Linked DNA regions of Sus scrofa. The protein of the gene in region 1 interacts with the protein of each later gene in a biochemical or structural test. Links are inferred from orthologs where the notes say so. Each region holds a gene or a part of one and is shown on either strand. Other genes may lie near its edges.

What was found.
Region 2: the proteins of SNAP25 (region 1) and STX3 form a complex in vitro, tested with the Homo sapiens proteins (2 studies listed by BioGRID). The link is inferred for Sus scrofa from reciprocal best matches to the Homo sapiens genes SNAP25 and STX3.
Region 3: the proteins of SNAP25 (region 1) and CPLX1 are reported together in a solved structure, tested with the Homo sapiens proteins (2 studies listed by BioGRID, with this or other methods). The link is inferred for Sus scrofa from reciprocal best matches to the Homo sapiens genes SNAP25 and CPLX1.

What each region holds. Positions count from the first base shown.
Region 1 is NC_010459.5:19,217,325-19,223,154, reverse strand, and holds part of SNAP25 (synaptosomal-associated protein 25), read right to left. Parts: intron 3,732-5,830; coding exon 3,587-3,731; intron 1-3,586.
Region 2 is NC_010444.4:11,707,413-11,713,242, reverse strand, and holds part of STX3 (syntaxin-3), read left to right. Parts: intron 1-529; coding exon 530-629; intron 630-1,199; coding exon 1,200-1,274; intron 1,275-2,391; coding exon 2,392-2,459; intron 2,460-5,830. UniProt on the Homo sapiens protein: Potentially involved in docking of synaptic vesicles at presynaptic active zones. Apical receptor involved in membrane fusion of apical vesicles.
Region 3 is NC_010450.4:227,411-234,017, reverse strand, and holds the start of CPLX1 (complexin-1), read left to right. Parts: upstream 1-2,296; 5' UTR 2,297-2,417; intron 2,418-2,744; exon of another isoform or gene 2,745-2,901; intron 2,902-4,200; 5' UTR 4,201-4,275; coding exon 4,276-4,306; intron 4,307-6,607. UniProt on the Homo sapiens protein: Positively regulates a late step in exocytosis of various cytoplasmic vesicles, such as synaptic vesicles and other secretory vesicles.

The DNA.
Region 1 (5,830 bases):
GTTGATGCCTAGCCTAGAAAATTCCATATGCCTCAGATGTGGCTTTAAAAAAAAAAAAGAATGCACTGGAGAGTCTTCTCATGATGGTACCAGAGGATATTTTGAAGCAAGGAGAGCATCAGCTTACTCTTTGGGTATTCTTAAAGGACCTGGGAGGAGCCGTTTTCAATAAGTGTCTGTGATGGCCACCAAAATCATTTTTGAAGCATACCAATATTCCAGACATACAATATCTGACACAAAAGGCACCATATCTTTATGATATTATATAATAGAAGTGCTTTTAGAAAAAAAATTCTGAGATAATTTTTTGTGAGATAATCTTTTTTTAGATGTCTTCCCAGTATTTGGAGAACACGTCTGTGTTTATTCTATTTATATGCTTTAGGACTTTATTTATGCAATCCATCTCATTCCAGTTTTCATATTTCTATTTAGAAACTCCTAAACTCGCTGGTATGCTCAAAATATGTTACACAATTTGCCCTTCTGAGAAAACCAGGATGCCCTCCAACAAACAAGTCAGTAAGAGAGGTAGACGGAGCTGTTTAGCCCACCCTTCTGAACACTCTGGAAATCTCAACTTCAGACCATGGCAGGTAGCTTTTAGGGCACAGCACAGACTTCCAGAAATGAATACACTTCTTCATATTGGCATCCTGCTCTGATCGCAGATTTGAACTGTTCTCTAACATCTTTCAGATGAGAACCCATGTTGTGAAGCCTGGAAAGCCCTACTGGAAGTCAAGGTCTCAGTTTTCAAATGCCGTATTTCCTTGTTGATGGGAGAATTTGAGGAGTGCTAAAAGCTTCAGCATTTAACGTATTTCATCGTATACATGTGCATGGCATCTTCCACTGACAACTTTATTTATTTTTTTCACTGACAACTTTAAATCCAAGTTTGAACATCACTCTGTTGTTTCCTTAGCAACAGTTCCCATGAAGATCTGATATAAACTCGCCCTAATTTTAGTAGTTTTTTGAAAGAATCATACCATTTTAACCTTAGAAAATTATATATAAAAATACTTTAAATCAGAAAGCAAGGTTTTTTGTTTTTCTTTTTAGGGCCACAACTGTGGCATACGGAAATTCCCAGGCTAGAGGTCGAATTGGAGCTACAGCTGTCGGCCTACGCCACAGCCACAGCAGTGCCGGATTGGAGCCGTGTCTGCGACACATTACGGCAACACCAGATCCTTAACCCACTGAGTGGGGCCAGGAATCGAACCTGCATATTCATAGATACTAGTCAGGTTGGATTCCACTGAGCCCAGCTGGAACTCCAGAAAGCAAGGTGTTTAAATAGACAAAGTAACTTCTTGACAGTCCATGGGAATGTATGGAAAATTGCATTGTTTTGGACTCCCAAAACTTGACTGTTAATTGAAGGGATGAGAAAGGATTGTGACTGACAGAGTTGGGTGAAGCTATTTTTGTGGTCATGAGAGAAGTACCAGAAGATTCTCTTCAGTCCTACAATGTGATTTTAACCTTAGATATGCAGGAAGCCTTTGCACTTCCTATTAACAGTAGAAAGAACTTGTACAAGAAGGTAGAAGTCTACCAATGACTGTGTAACTCCTGTAACCTGTTTCATTTGGGGCAATGTTGAGTTGAAATGGACTTTATCTAACTCATATCTAGATTGTCATTTTGATGAGGGGAAAAAAAACCCCACTAGTTATTTGAAGGTAACTAGACCCCTTCCCCACTTAAGCAACTCAACATTCAAAGATGACATAAAGGCTCTTTCCTATTCACTTGCCTGACTTTTTGAAAGCTTATAAAACTTAGAGCTGCGTCTGTCTTTGCCTGTGCAGTAAATCAGCCCCAGAATGAAAGGTTTTCCTTAAAGAAGAGAACTGGAAATGCAAAGTGGCAGAATTAAGATGTCACTTGCCTTTCCAGGAAGACTTACGCTTGCTTAAAGCCCAGCTCTATCAGTAAAGGTTTGACCCCTCTTTCTTAGCAGAACTTCTCTTTCTGGGACTCTAATTGAGTCTGAGATACATTATCTTCCTACATCTGTGAGTAAATTGGGCCCATTGATAGAAAATAACTACTTTTCTTTTTTTTTTTTGAAATCATTTTCCTGTTGGAAGGTAAGCTGGCAATTACCTCTTAGTTCATTTTTCTGGACCATAATGCATTAGGTCCATTTGTGTTGGCTCTAGTGCTTTTTGAGACTCTCAATATTGTTCTAAAATCTATTGATTTGCACAGCTTTCAAAGCTTTAGCATTTCAAAGGCTCTTAACAATGATAAGTATGTCAGGTCTTGTGAAAGTAAGCAGAGGACAAATATTTGTCAACCAACACTGACATCTGACATTATTATGCAGTTCAATACTGAGTAGGCAAAGTATCATGCAATCAAATAGTTTTTAATATAATGTATATAGAACACAATAGGGCAAATCATTCCTTTTATGTCTATTCATGCCTTTCTCAAGTCAGCAGAGAATGCTTAGGTACCAAGAAATTGAGTATTTAGCTTTGTGATTCAAGAGATCTCAAAAAACACCCTTCTTCCCCTACCAAAGTGGAGTAAATTGTTGAAAAGAAACTCAGGGTTTCAGACTCAAAACATCAGCACCTTCCAAGGAATAATCTCACACAATATATGATTAGCTGAGTAGAATTGATTATAGATGCACAACTGCCTTTAAACTTACAATGTGTGTATTTCTCCCTTGTTAACATTTGGACATTTTAAGAGATTACAAGCAATATTTAGGACTCTACTGATTGGTGAGGGGGTGGAATACAAAGATACAGAAGCTGTATCAGATGCATATAGTGTAGAATATCAGGGTTTGGTGCCCATATCTTTTTACCAAAGCTTTTCAGCGTTTCCTTCTGGGCCCTCCTAATCTCAAGACCCCGAACCCACCCTTTTCCATTATATTGTCCCCACTCTTCCTTAATGCCTCTTATTGACACGAGGGGCTCAATCTTAGATTGACATCTGGTGTCCTCCTGTGAACTCAACTTCCTCAGGTTATGTTTCCACTTTGAGATCTGGACATGTGCACCACTGACCTAGAAATGGAATCTGGGCCTTTTTGAACTATCATTAAAGCTTTGGCACTTCCATTTCCTGACTCTATTCCTACATCATCTCCATTTGACAAGCTCCTAACCATCCTTAGAGACTCAATACAAATTCGACTTTTTTGGGGGAGATTTCCCCATCTACTGAACCCTGAAGTCTTTCCTCATCTAACCTCATTTAGCACTGGATGTGTGGCTTTCTTGGCAAATTATATTTTCATCTGGAAATTCACTGTTCTAAGTTTCTTGGCTGTAAGGATGCTGTTTCTCTCATCCTAATATGCCCAGCAGTTGCCTAAAATAAAGATGCCCTTGGAGGACTATCTGCTAGATTAAATTCTACCCTGGTATTTACTTCTGTGCTGCTGGATTTTTGTCTTGGAAAATTAGACAATTTTTGGATTATCTTTCAGTGCCTAAACCTAAAGTCATGGCGTGAGGGTCTTGTGATGCCCTTCACCCTTCCTCAGTGGTTATTTCAGAGGAAGTGATGAGCAAAGGAAACATACTGACAGCCATGCACCCACCTTCTCCATGATCCTGTCGATCTGGCGGTTCTGTGTATCGATCTCATTGCCCATATCCAGGGCCATGTGACGGAGGTTTCCAATGATGCCGCTCACCTGCTCCAGGTTTTCATCCATTTCATTTTCTCGGGCATCATTTGTTACCCTGGGTATCAAAGAGCAGTTTTTAGAAGATAAAAGAAACTCAAATACCAAGGAGTCAAAGATGAGGGTAAATCTATAGACCTCTAGGTATCAACCCTATACTTTCTGAATCTCCGTTCAACACAGGAACACATTTTAGCTTTTGTACATTACAAGGTACTTTTAAAAATTGCATATTGATAAATTTCTACTTTTATTTTTTATTTTTATTTTTTTTGCTTCTTAGGGCTGCACCCACAGCCTATGGAGGTTCCCAGGCCAGGGGTCGAATCAGAGCTGCAGCTGCTGGCCTACACACAGCCACAGCAACGCAGGATCTGAGCCACATCTTCGACCTACACCACAGACCATGGCAACGCTGGATCCTTAACTCATTGAGTGAGGCCAGGGATTGAACCTGCGTCCTCATGGATCCTAGTCGGGTTCGTTAACCACTGAGCCACAAAGGAAACTCCTAAATTTCTACTTTTAAAGAAGGCATATTAAATAGATTAATTTACCTACTTTTCTAACTTCCACCAACACATCATCATTTCCTCCCTTCATATGTTTATCCCAATTTTCATTTTTTTTTTTTTAAGGGTAAAATCATTTTAGCTGGGAGGATTCTGGGTCAGAGAATGAAGATGGAACTAGTTAGAAACTGTATTTTTCTTTCTGAGATGTCAATCAAAATCTACAAGGGTCAAATTTAGAATGAAAGAGAAAGCTATTGAACTAAGTCACAGAATTTCTCCACCCATCTCCTTCTCCATTTGGGACCAATATCAAAGGGAAGAGGAATGTGAATTATAGTCTGCCCCTTAATCCTTTTTGCTCCCAAGAACTCCAAAGGGAGCTTTTTGTCAAGGTGGTTTTATTTGCTCAGATTTCAATGCTATGGGATTTTTGGTGGCACTGTGAATGGATGATCTCAAAGAAGAAGACTGGGACAGAAAATTACTGTTTCAGTTTAAGTGGGGAGGAAGGACTTGGCTCTCATTTTTTTCATAGTCCAGCTTGAAAGTTAAGAAGTAACTCTTTTTAGGAGTTCCCATCGTGTCGAAGTGGAAAAAATCCGGCTAGGAACCACGAGTTTTCGGGTTCCTTGCTCAGTAGGTTAAGGATCTGGTGTTGCCGTGAGCTGTGGTGTAGGTCATAGACATGGCTTGGATTCTGCATTGCTGTGCCTGTGCCATAGGTCAGCAGCTGTAGCTCCAATTGGCCCCCTAGCCTGGGAACCTCCATATGCCATGGGTGCGGCCCTAAAAAGCAAAAACAACAACAACAACAAAAAACCCTACCAAAAAACATTTTTCTACCACAGATGCTGATGGGCTAAAATATGTTTGGAAGGGTTAACATCCTTCCCCCATGGTAAATCCCAATGCAGATTGTTTCTCTAAGGTTTTAAAACCATTTAAATCCAGATAAAATTAAAAGGGAACTTTCTAGATCTCTTATGTAGAAAAAAAGAAGCTTATTTAAATGATCATCAGCAGCTGAGACATACTTCTAATTCCATGGTCCTCAGCCCTCTTTGCATTTCAGAATTACCTGAGCAGCTTTAAAACTACTGATATCCATGTCTCATTTCTAGAGATTCTGATTCACTGGGTTTGGATTAAGCCCAGGCACTGATACTTTTAAAAAATTGCACAGTTATTCTAATATGCAGTTAGGTTTGAGGACCCCTGGTCTAGTTTCCCTGGGAGCAGACAGAAACATGAATAGAATTGTCATCTGTGAAGTTCTGGGTAGACATCTGGACATTTATACATAAAGAGCAGTGACTCATCTTTTGAATCTGGGTATATAGATGGTTGATCAAACAGCTACCCTAGTTACTGCTGAGTCCTAGGGTAGTAACCTGCAAAAAAGAATAACTTTTCCCTTTTTTTTTTTTGGCAACAGGACTATTTGTTATTATTATTATTTTCTGATCTCTTGGGAGCTGAGTTTTAAATCAGCAGATGTGTGATTTGAGATTTTTAAATAGAGGTTAAATTAGCTTTTGTTTCCAGATCTCATAGGACCTGCTTAAGAAGTCAGGTCTCCTCATTATTCTCTGTGTGTACCCCTTGATCTGTTCTCTGGCTCAGAGGCTGACCTCTCTACAAC
Region 2 (5,830 bases), on another chromosome or scaffold:
GAGGCCGTCAGCCAGTGAGAGGTATTTGCCCAGAACTGGAGCTGGCCCGTCTCCCCAGATGGTCACTGCTTCCTCTCTCTTTCTCTTCCTCTGTTTTTCTCTTCCTCTTCCTCTCATTCTTCTTTCTCTGTTTCTCACCCTCTAGGTCTGTTCTCTCCCTTTCTTTTCTTTCCCTCTTTCCTTTTTACCTCTCTCCCATCCTCACTCTCTGACGTTCCCAGTTTTAGAGGAGCTGAGCATCAGCCTGAGAAGGTTTCATGACCCTTCCCTCTGGTTCCTCATGAGTCTTTCTGGCCGGAATCCTCTCAGTCAAGGTGAGCAGGTGTATTCCTCTCAGGGAGCGATGAGGACAGATCTTCAGTGACTGCTCTGACTACGGAGAGGGTCGTCACTGGGCTCACGGGTCCTCAGAAGACCTTTCTCGCCACCGTCTTCTTCCACAAACCCAGAAGGCGGGCAGAAAGTTCTGCTACCTTTCATTCCGGACATGATCATAGCTGTATTCTCCCTCTTGTCTTTCTAATTTTAGATTGAGGAAACTCGACTCAACATTGACAAGATCTCAGAGCATGTGGAGGAAGCTAAGAAACTCTACAGCATCATTCTCTCTGCGCCCATTCCAGAGCCAAGTGGGTGTTGACTCAGGGCTGAATCACCCGACCATGACCCTTGGCCACTGGGGCTGGGCCTCGGCCAGCAGGGGAGGGGATGTGTTACCTCACACTGATGTCTGGATCACGTCATCACCCACCCCCCCTCACCCACTTCTGACTCACACTGCCCTGACCGCCATCAGCGCTTCTCTTCATGGTTCCCCTCAACCTGTTTTGCCAAACCTCTGCTTCCCAACCCTCTGTCTCATGACTGGCAATGACTCTGCTGCTCAAATACCTCATCTCTGCCCCACCGCTGCTCTTGTGCCATTTCCTCCACCTGAAATGCCCCCCCACCCCCCCCCATTTTTCCATGAACTGTTTTTATTCTGTAAGTCTGAGTAGGGTGCCTGGAAAAAAAATGCCTGTTAAAAATAAGCCCTCTGTGATCCTAAGGAGGATGCCTGGGGAGCCCACCGGGATGTGCGCTGCTCTGGGTGGAGAGCGCTGAAAAAGCACCCCATCTCTTCCATTGATTGTTGTAGCTGACTAAGCAATCAGTCTTTTCTACCTGCCTGATTCCACCTGCCTTTTTTTTTTATCCAGAAACCAAGGATGACCTGGAGCAGCTCACGACTGAGATCAAGAAAAGGGCCAACAACGTCCGGAACAAACTGAAGAGTAAGAAGGCAGCAGGGGGTTCAGGCAGCTCCCCCCTCCCACCCCCATCCATCTCACGGCCTCTGGGTCCAACTCTTCTGGACCGAGACTCTTCCCGATGGGAGTGACACTCTTTGTGCCATCTTTGTTCGTGGTCTGGGCACTGTCCCTGGAATAGACCTATTCTAGTCCCAGAAATTCTGTCTGCTCTTGGGTCATGACTGTGGCTGGAGGAGTCCGGAGTGGAAGTTTGGAGGCGGGAATGAAAGTGTGCTTTCAGCTGCTGAATATTTGTGTGACTTGGTCCTTAAACTTAGTCCGTCAACTTTTTTCCTCCTGGTCCCGATTCTTCGGCACCTGCAGACACATGAATAGTGGTGTTGGTTATCTCTGGATGCCGGAGAGGTTGTTCAGTCTACAGATATTTCTTGGGGACCAGGTGTCTCACCCTCCATTTCCACCACCCCCACCCCTTGGCTTAGGGCATTCCTCGGTGAAGCCACTCTCATAGAGTTGGTTCCCCTGGGGCCCAGAAGTCATAAGTCATTTGCATTCTTGCCTCATTGTATTTGGTGACGAGTGCTTGCTGTTGGTCAGAGTATGAAAGTGGCATTGCTCAGCCTAAGTAATCAGTTCTCAGCCAAAGCAGACGGCGCTACCTGTTTTCACGGGGGTGGAGGTGGAGGTTGCTAGTGGCAGCTTCCATCTGTAGCACCGATCATGTGCCAAGCCCTCAGTGGGCATCCTTCTTTCATTTCCACATCAGAATCGCCAGAGAGGGGCACTGCTCTTTATTCCATCTTACAGATGAGAGAATGGGAACACAGGTTAAGTGGCTTTTCCAGAGGTAGACGGCTAGTAGGTGGCGGGGCAAGGATTTGAGCCCATGTCTCTTGATGACAGAGACAGAGTGGCTGACCCCTGAGCTGAGATGTAGCTGAGGAAGGCCTGTGCCTGGGAAAGGCGTGGAGTGTGCGTCCTGTGGCTCACGAGGGAGCTGGCCTTCCGAGACGGGGCCTGCCTGCTGTCACGTCTCCTGGCCCAGGTGTGAGAATGAGAGTCAGGGTTGCATTGTGCAGCGTGTGTCCTGGCAGAGAGCAGCAGATGCCTTGCTAGAACGTCCTTCTCTCCCACCCAGGCATGGAGAGGCATATCGAAGAAGACGAGGTCCGGTCGTCAGCAGACCTTCGGATTCGGAAATCCCAGGTGAGAGTTTCCCTGGTCTAACGATCATCTAGTCCGATCTTTTTTTTATTTATTTTTTTCCTAGCTTTTTAATCTATTTATTTTTATTTATAAAACTTTTTATTGAGGAGTTTCCGTTGTGGCGCAGTGGAAACGCATCTGACTAGTATCTATGAGGACGTAGGTTTGATCCCTGGCCTCGCTCAGTGGGTTAAGGATCCAGTGTTGCCAGGAGTTTTGGTGTAGGTTGCAGATGTGGCGCAGATCTCGCGTTGCTGTGGCTGTGGTGTAGGCCGGCAGCTGTAGCTCCATTTCAACTCCTAATCTAGGAACCTCCATATGCCACAAGTGTAGCCCTAAAAAGCAAAAAAAAAAAAAAAAAAAAAAAAAAAAATTTTTATTGAAGTATGGTTGATTTACAATATTGTGTTAGTTTCTGGTGCGTAGTAGCAAAGCGATTCAGTTTGTATATATGAATTAAGGAGGCTCTTCAGGGGAGTTCCTGTCGTGGCTCAGTGGTTAATGAATCCAACTAGGAACCATGAGGTTGCAGGTTCGATCCCTGGCCAGTGGGTTAAGGATTCCGTGTTGCCGTGAGCTGTGGTGTAGGTTGCAGATGCCGCTCGAATCGCGCGTAGCTGTGGCTCTGGTGTAGGCTGGCGGCTACAGCTCCGATTTGACCCCTAACCTTGAACCTCCATATGCCTCGGGAGTAGCCCAAGAATGGCAAAAAAGACCAAAAAAAAAAAAAAAAAAAAAAAAAAAAAGAAAGAGGCTTTTCAGACTTAATGGGGGGGGGGGCAGTTGAGTGTTTTATTTATTTATTTATTTTTTTGTCTTTTTGTCTTTTGTTGTTGTTGTTGTTGCTATTTCTTGGGCTGCCCCCGCGGCATATGGAGGTTCCCAGGCTAGGGGTTGAATCGGAGCTGTAGCCACCGGCCTACGCCAGAGCCACAGCAACGCAGGATCCGAGCCGCGTCTGCAACCTACACCACAGCTCACGGCAACGCCAGATCGTTAACCCACTGAGCAAGGGCAGGGACCGAACCCGCAACCTCATGGTTCCTAGTCGGATTCGTTAACCATTGCGCCACGACGGGAACTCCGAGTGTTTTAAATTAGTGGGGTAGGAGTTCTCATCATGGCTCAGAGAAACAGTATCCACAAGGACGCAGGTTTGATCCCTGGCCTCGCTCAGTGGGTTAAAGATCCAGCACTGCCATGAGCTGTGGTGTAGGTTGAAGACATGGCTTGGGTCTGGCCTTGCTGTGGTTGTGCTATAGGCTGGCAGCTATAGCTCCAATTCAGCCGCTAGCCTGGGAACCTCCATATGCTGCAAGTGTGACCCTAAAAATACCAAAAAAAAAAAAAGTAGTAAGGTGTGGTTAGTTGGGGTGAGTATCCTGGGAGATATGTATATATTTCTTTCTCAGATTCTTTTTCATTATGGGTTATTATAAGATATTGGATATAGTTCCCCTGCTGTACAGTAAATCCTTGTTGTTTATTTCATATACAGCAGTGTGTATCTGTTAATCCCAGACTCTTAATTTATTCCCCCCCCTTTCCCTTTGGTAATTATAAGTTTGTTTTCTATGTCTGTGAATCTGTTCATTTGTATTATTTTTTAGAATCCAACTATAAGTGATATCATATAATATTTGTCTTTGTCTGACTTACTTAGTATGATAATCTCTAGTTCCATCCTTGTTGTTGCAAATGGTATTATTTCATTTTCATTCCTTTTCATGGCTGAGTAGTGTTTCATGGTATGTATACGTACCACTTCTTCACCTGTTCATCTGTTATTTCCCTGTCTTGGTTATTATAAATAGCATTGCTCTGAACATAGGGATGCATGTATCCTTTTGAATTAGTTTTGTCCAGATAGATGCCCACGAATGAGATGGCTGGGTCATATGGTAGTTGTATATTTAGTTTTTAAAGGAACCTCCATACTGTTTTCCGTAGTGGCTGCATGAATTTACATTCCCACCATCATGTAGGGGGGTTCTCTTTTCTAGCAGTGGAGTCTTAAAAAAAAACAAAAAAACAAAACAGCTCTTGTTTGGAATTCAGTTTGAAGAGCTGGTAGAGGAGAGCTGCCCAGGTTGAAGTAGGGGACGGGGTCGAGTCTGGCCCTGGTGGCCCCTCTCACACTCTCCTCTAGGGAGGCCTCTGAGGCTCCCAGAGGCAGCTTAGGGTTGAGCGTGCCTCCCTGGTTTACAGCTGAGGAAACTAAAGTGTTCCTTCCGAAGATTGTTGGTCATCATTTGTCCTGTTTGGTGGTCATCAGACACATGATCCTTGTCCTTGAAGAAATGGCACGATGTTCAAGTGGCACAAGGAAACTTGACACAAGACCCCCAGGAAAGCCGTGTAGAAAGACATGCTGAAACGCACATGCCCTCAGCCTCAGATGAGCTCGGGGAGATCTGGGGTGCCCAGAGGCGGCTGGGCCATGGATGGGCAAGAGTGCCACTGTGGGAGTTCCCCTTGTGGCTCAGTGGGTTAAGAACCCAACATAGTGTGCATGAGGTTGTGGGTTTGATCTTTGGCCACAACAAAAAAGTAAAAAGAGTGCCACCATGTACAGGCCCAGGAAGAGATTCTCCTTAGAGGCATGGGGGCAAAAGTGGTGTGTGTGTGGGTGTGTGTGTGTGTATGTGTGTGTGTGTGTGTGTGTGTGTGTGTTGGAAGTGGTAGGGGTGGGGGGCAGACATGAAGAGAACAGTCTGACTAGAGTAAAAAGTTTGTCTTGGAATAGTGAATATTGAGTTTCAGTAGAGAACACAGCGCCATATTCCAAAGGCCTGTGACTACCGTCTAGGGCGTTGCATTTGACTGAGTAGCCTGCATGTAACTTCAGGTTGCAGTCTATTAGGAAGATAATCTGGTATCCATATGAAAGCGGATTGGCATGGGGAAGAGGCAAGAGGTGGGTGGGTCTCTAGTTGGGTTTTTGCAGTGGTTTTGGTCTGAATTTGCACGGTGATCATGGGATTGAAAGCACTGTAGATATGGATGATTTTTGCAAAGGAAAAACGAGTAGGGCTTGATGCTGAGAGGTGGGCAATGAATCAAAATGATAAAGATAGGAGTTTAGGCCCCAGGGCCGTTGAGTGAATGCCTTGAGTTGGATGCAAGAAAAGTTGGGGAGATGAGTCTGCGTATGAGCCCAAGGACCTTTGGATGTAGGAGGTGAGTCCGCAGCTTTAGAGAGCAGGGCCTCTGAGATTCACAAAGAGGTCTCCTTTGGTCTCACAGTTACTTCACGAGTTCATCAAGGCAGGTAAACAAATACTGAAAGCATGCTTTGGAAGGGTCAGCCGGCTCTCCCAGTGGTGTAAGGTTAGAAAACCAAAAAGTTGAGTCTCACAGTTCCCATCATG
Region 3 (6,607 bases), on another chromosome or scaffold:
GCGCCCCAAAACTGACTGCTTGGTTGGAACCCCTCCCCATCTCTCCAGCTCCGTGCACCCTCCTCCTGCCTGGCCTGGCCTCTGGCCACCCCCCGACGGCCCACAGGTGTGCCCCCACCACCATCCTGGGTCTCCAGCCCCGTGGATCCTGATGGGTGCCCTTGGCTGTTACAGATGTTTTCTGCTCAGCTCCTGCCTCGGGAGGACCCGTCCAGGACCCAGGCCCTCTTTGGGGCACTCACAGGGCCATGAGTGCCTCCTGGGATGTGGCCCTGAGGCTGGGTCGCCTCCGGAGCCCATGTGGCCATTGGGCCCATCCGTCCTCACCTTCTGCCCAGAGCCCCTGCCCCCACCCCCCGCCCCTAGTCCTGACTCCACAACTGCCTGGCCTCCCTGGCCTGGGACTGTGGCCAACCTTGTCTATTTCACATGGGAGCCCCCCACCTCCCCACCCCCCGCCCCAGCCCGGGGCCTGGATGTCTGAGGAGGGCAGCTGTGTGTGCAGTGGGTCTAAGAGGAGTAGCAACAGACCAAGACAGACAGAGATGGAGGGAGACAGAGGAAGAGCCAGAGAGACAGAAGGACAGAGACAGAGGAACAGACAGATACATGGATAGAGAGGGAAGGAGAGATACACAGAGACGGAGACAGAGCTGGCGACTTCAAACCTGACCTCTGAATGGTGACCCCAGAGGGAGGGAGAGGGAGGGAAGGAGAGACAGGGCTAGAAGGTCAGGCAGCAGGACCAGCAGAAGGGCCTCTGGCTTCTGGGCCCCAGGGGTGTGTGGAGTTCAGCCAGGCCTGGGCCACGGGATCGGCGGGGGGGGGGGGGGGGGTGGAACCTGTGCTCACGGACACCTGCACTCCCCTCTCCTGCCCATACGAAGCCCCACACCCAGCCTGGCAGCCCCAAGGTCAGTGGCGTGTCTCCCTGCCTTGAACGGGCCACTGGGGTCATTGGTCATGGGGCTGCCCTGGACTCAGCTGGGGTCACCTCAGGGGCCTCTGCGGGGTTACCATCAGGAGGTCAGCTGTGGGTCAGTCCTCAGGTCCACCTAGTGGCGGGGGGCCTCTAGTGGGGAAAGTGACGTGCCCCTTTCCTGGACCCACACTCTCCCTCTGGCATCCACACCCAAGTTCTCAGGACACCAAAGGCCCAGGCTGGGCAGAGCCTGTGGGCTCAGGCTGGACCCTCAAGACCCTCAGACACATGCAAACAGGCGGCCGCTCCCATCCGTCCTCAGACCTGCAGAAGCCCTGGGGCTTTGGCCCACCTCCCCCGAAGGGTGGGGATAGAGGTGCAATGGAGGCACTCCTCACACCCCTGGGTCAGCCAGGGTGTGTCCCAGGGCCCCAGCTTCTGAGCTGCCCCACCCACCCTCCTGGCACTTCCTCACCCCGATCTAGGTGACAGGAGCCATCAGCAGGAGGAATGGATAGAGTGCTGGGGAGGCTGCAGATGCAGAGTGCAGCGTGCCGCTGCCCCCCCGCACAAAGCAGTGCTGGCCTGTGCCGCCCTGCCTGCACCTGCTGGGCACAGCGGGCGGGGGTGGGAGCTGGGAGCCCAGGTGCCAAGCAGACGCGGGGCGGGGGGAGAGCACCCCCCCGGGAGCCCCCCCCCCCCCGCAGGCACGTCCTCCAGCGTTCAGGCTGTGAGTCCTGGGGAGGGGCCTGAGCAGGGGTCTCCTGGGGTTGGGGGTCTCCAGGAGCTGCCCCTGCCCCCACAGGCCCAGGAGCCCTGATGACTCAGCTGGGAGGGATGGGGAAAGCGCAGGGCCACCAGGGGTGTCCACCTGCTGACCAGGAGGCCAGCAGAGACCCCAGACCCCTGCCGAACCGTGGGCCCCTCCCACAACAGTCTTCCTACCCCGAGAGCAGCGGCGGGACCGGAGGCCCAGCCGCCGACCTTGCAGCGACCCCGCTCTCCCCGCAGCGCAGCTTCCGCCGCAGAGGAAATCCCGGAGGCCCGGGGAGGGGGCGGCCCCGCGGGGGCGGGGCTGCGGGGACAGCGAGCGCCACAGCCAGTCCGCAGTGACCTTGGCGCGTCCCCGCCTCGCTTGGGGCCCTGGGCGGAGGGGCGGAGGGGGCGGAGGAGGCGGGGGTCTCTCGGACCCTGTCCCACTGAAATGAAACGGCGGGGCTCTTTCGTTGCGACTCTGTTACACAGAAAAATAGGTCCGGGCCGGTGTGCAGACTGCTCCTCGCTAACGGTTGTGTGGGTTTTCAGGGCCTGGGGGCTCCCTTCTCCTGCCCAGCGGTGCCGGAGGCCCTAGAGCGGCGCGGGTCCGGGACCCCGACAGCGACCGCCGTCGCCGCCGTCGCCAGGGAACTCCTTCGCGAGCGCGCGGGGGCAGAAAGGGAGACCGCGGGAAACGGCGCCCCCGACCCGCGGCCGGACTGGAAAGGACTTTTCCCAGGGGAGTCGCGCGCGTACCCGTCCGCCCGCTGGGTGCCCCTCACGGGCGGAGGCGTTGGGTGTGCGGGGCCCTGTCCGCGGGGGGAGGGCAGCCCCCGGGACCCACGCGCAAGGGGATCGGATGGCGCGGGCTGGGGGTCGTATCCGGGATTCCGAACTAATGGGTGGGCCGGGGTCGTGCGCGCCGGCTCGGAGAGACAGCGCCCCAAGACCCGCGAATCCGGCCAGGGAGCCGGGTTTGGGAGCGGGGGTGGGGGGCGGCTCCGCCCCCCGCCCCGCGGGCGCCCGCCCCGCGCCGCTGCCCCGCCCTCCTCGTCACGCTCGGACGCGGGCGGGGGGCGGGGAGCGCCTCCATGTGACGCGCCCTCCTCGCGGTGCCCTTCAGCTGCCGCCGCAGTTCCCGGCGCGCCACATGGAACCGGCCGGCCCGAGCGCGCTCTGCCGCTGACCGCCCGCCAGCCCGCCCGCGCTGCGGCCCCGGGAAGGTAACCGGCGTCCCCGCGCGCAGCCCCCTCCCCGGCCCTGCGGCCCCCTCCGCGGCCCAGGCTGGGCGCGCACTGAGCCCCTGGCGGGCGCTGTCCGCAGACGCGGTGCTGAAGCGGCTCCAGGGTCCCGGCCCTCCTTCCTGCTCCTTGGCCCGCATCTCCTGCCGCTCGAATCTCCCCTTCCCCTCGCTCGTCCTCTCTCTCTCTCTCTCTCTCTCTCTCTCTCTCTCTCTCTCTTTTCCCTATGTTCTGGCGCGCTCCCGCCTGAGGGCTGCTTGGCTGAGCTGGGCAGCTCGATCTCCTGCAAAGCCAAGGGGTACGGCGGCCGCGGGAGCTCCGAACCGCGCGGGGCGGCGGTGGGAGGGCTGCGGAAGCTCCAGCGGCACCTGGTCTCTCTGTGTCTGGGCCTGAGGCTTCCTCTTCCCCCCCTAGTCCTCCACCCCACCCCGCCACCAGAAGCCAGGGGAGAAGTTTGGAAGAGAATCTGTGTTGCGGCAAGGGCGCCCCTGCGCGCGAGCGCTTTGCGAACAGGCAGGGGCACTCCCGCCCCCTGCCCCCTCCGCAGCCCGCACACTCGCGGATCTCCTTCGTCTGAAGGGGAAAAAAACGCAAATAGCGCATCTCCAGGGACCTGGGTTTCCCTGCCAGGAGCGACCTCACAAGGGGGGAGGGGACACACCGCAGCTGCAGGTTTTATAGGAAGCACCTCCCACCAGACCTCCAGCTGGCCTGGACCCTGGAGAGCCCCATCCACGCAAGTGCATGTGGAGGGATGGACTGCCCCCCCCCCATTTTATTTGTTTCCTGAAGGCTGGGCCCCCTGCAGTTTCTCCTTTCCACCTCAGTCTCTGCTGTGGGCTGGTGGCCTTGGGTGCCGGCCTCTCCCCTGGATGGTACCTGGTCTCCGAAGACTCTTTCCTTGGGAACCAAAGGGAGCGCCCACTCAGGTCTCAACCTTTAGATGGACCCAGGGTTCCACCAAGGAGGCAGCAGAGCCAGTCACCTCCAAACGCCCCTGGGCCTGCCCCACTTGGCGCAGGCTGGTTCCTCTGAGCTGCACCCCCCTCCCTGCATTCGCAGCCAGAAGCTGGCATCAGAAACCCCAAGGCCAGGGGAGACTATTTTGCAGGGGCCTCGGGTGCCCGTCCCAGTGCTGTGGTCTGGCCTTGAGGTGTGGGGGAACCATGAATGATGCTCTCTCAGACCCCAGACCCATGCCCAGGGAAGCCGGGCAGGTGCGAGGAAGAAGTCCTCCCCCGCCCTGTCGGAGGATGACTTGTGCCCACGTCCTCTCCCCAGGCAGAGGACTTCTGGCCACACTCGAATGTGAGCTACGGCCCTCCAAGGAGCCACTGAGGACTCAAAGCCATCGCCATGGAGTTCGTGATGAAACAGGCCCTGGGAGGTAGGAGGGGCCGCTGCATCCCCAGCAGCAGGCGGACACGCGGGGTTGAGCACAAATGTCACATGACACCCAAAGCACACTGCAGGCCCCTCCGGACAGAGTGGGGGAGGCAGGGACCAAAGGCAGCCCCTCCCGAAGCACCTTGGCCAGCTTTGGGGCGGGGGGTATGCACACCTAGTACCAGGATGTGCAGAGCTGAAGCACCTCCACCCCGCCTTGGGAGGACACCCCACGGTAGGTTGAGGGGAACGGGGGCCAGTCTGGCCAGAGCCGGTGGCCCCCACAAGGACATTGCTTCTGGTGAGCAGAGCTGCAAGAGGCTGCAGGGTGGCTACGGCCACTGGAGTGCGGGTAAGGAGCAGAGATGGGCTGGTGGCATCCAGCAAGGGCTTCATGGTGTCACCGGGGTGGGGCCAGCAGTGTGTACAGGGAGCCGGGGCTGGCTGAGCTCAGGGACAAGAGAAGAGGCCCCGGGTAACTCGTGTGCCCTCCCCCATGGAGCAGTGCAGCCTCTTGTGTGTGCTGGGGGAAGGGAGCCCTTCCGGCCCTGCCGACTGCTTTTGAAAGGAATCCTGTACCTGCTTGGCTGGAGGCCATCTCCACGGCCAGAGACCCTGGCCTGGTGGGGAGGTGGTAAACGCAGTGGGCCGGGACCCAGGCCCAGGAGGTGGGCAGGGCAGCGGGCCGAGGTCCACACTGGTACAGATGCAACCCAGGCCTGACTCTGCGGTTAGAGATGTCTTCTTTGGGTGATGGCACCAGCCTTGGACCTCACGTGGTCTCTGTGGGCCACGCCCTGACCCAGTGCCTTTCACAGCCTGGCATGAGCCAGGTGAAGCATGACAAGGCCACTCCTTGGCAGGAGGGACTGAGCGCTCCTCACCAGAGACGGGGTGCCGTGGGCGCTGTCACGCTAGGCGCAAGGGGCAGGGTCGAGGGCCAGTGGCACAGAGCCCAGACAGGGGCCCCGCGTGTGGCTTCTCTTGGAAAGTGGCGGCATTTCCACTCAACATGAATTAACCGAAGAGACTGAGCCTGGCCCAGGGCCACCCTTCCTGAGATTTTGTGGTCAAGGATAGGCTGCAGGTTGAGTCTAATTATAATGATGACGTCACTGGGACGTGATTCAGGGACGGGCCGCATCCTGGCAGCAGGAGGGATCCGAGTTCCACCCAGCCAGTCCCAGGCTGTTACAGATAATTAATTAGGTGGCTAATTCAGGCCTGAGGTGGGCTTGTAGGAAAACTGAAATATCTGATTTGGCTGTCTACATGGCTGGAATTAGCAGGGTAATTGCCAGCCTGGATTCCCTTTGTTCTGTGTCAGCCCAAAGTTTCTCCTTCGATGGCGATGGGGAGGGCTTCACCAGCCACTTGGGAGCCTGGGCGTGGAGGGGTGCAGCCAGCCAGGCACCTCCAGGCAGCCCCTCCCTGGTGCCCCGGGCCCAGCGTGCCCCCTGCCCGCACCCCGTCCTCACCCCAGTGCTGCTGGGGGCGGGGGCTGCTCCGCGTGAGACTGAGTTTTCTCTCCCCCAGCGGGCGTCATTTTGGTGTCTCGGGATGAGTGTGGGTGAGAGGCAGACAGACGGAGACCGGGAGACGGTGCCGAGAGAGACAGAGCAGAGCCGCAGACACAGAGGCAGGACAGACCCGGGACGCTGTCCAGAGACAGGCGGGCCCAGGGGAGACACAGCCAGACACAGACCAAGAAGGGGAAGGCAGTGCCGTGGACCCTGGACGCAGAGATGTGGAGAAACAGGCCTGGAGGGGGACAGACGCAGGATGGGACAGCGGGGGCCAGGCAGCCTGGAGTCAGGCGGGGCAGGCAGCGGGGCGCGAGGCTCAGAGCAGAACTGCAGGAGGAATACACCACGGAGGAGACAGGGCGCTGGGCCCGGGACCAAGGGACTCGAGCAAATGGGTCAGGAAGTGTCAGTGCAGGACAGACGGACAGAGAGGGACACTCAGGGAAACACAGAGAGAGAGGCAGAGTGAGATGGACAGACTGAGAGACAGTGAGAAACAGGGATGTTTCAGAAACAAAGTGAGAAATGGAGTCGGGGCCAGAAGCAGCCCTGTCCCCACACGCACGCCCATGCGCCCGCTTCCCAGTGCTTGTCGTCTGCCTGATCCTGCGTCTCGGGCAAGGCCTTTGTTGGTGCAGAGGCTTTGAAATGACTCCTGGCGGAGACTGCAGTTGAGGGCCTCAAGAGCCCTGAGATAGACAGACAGACAAGACAATGGGCAGCCCCCAGACACGTGCGGCTGTGTCTGTTTGGTCTTGTCCACTCTGGGACTCTTG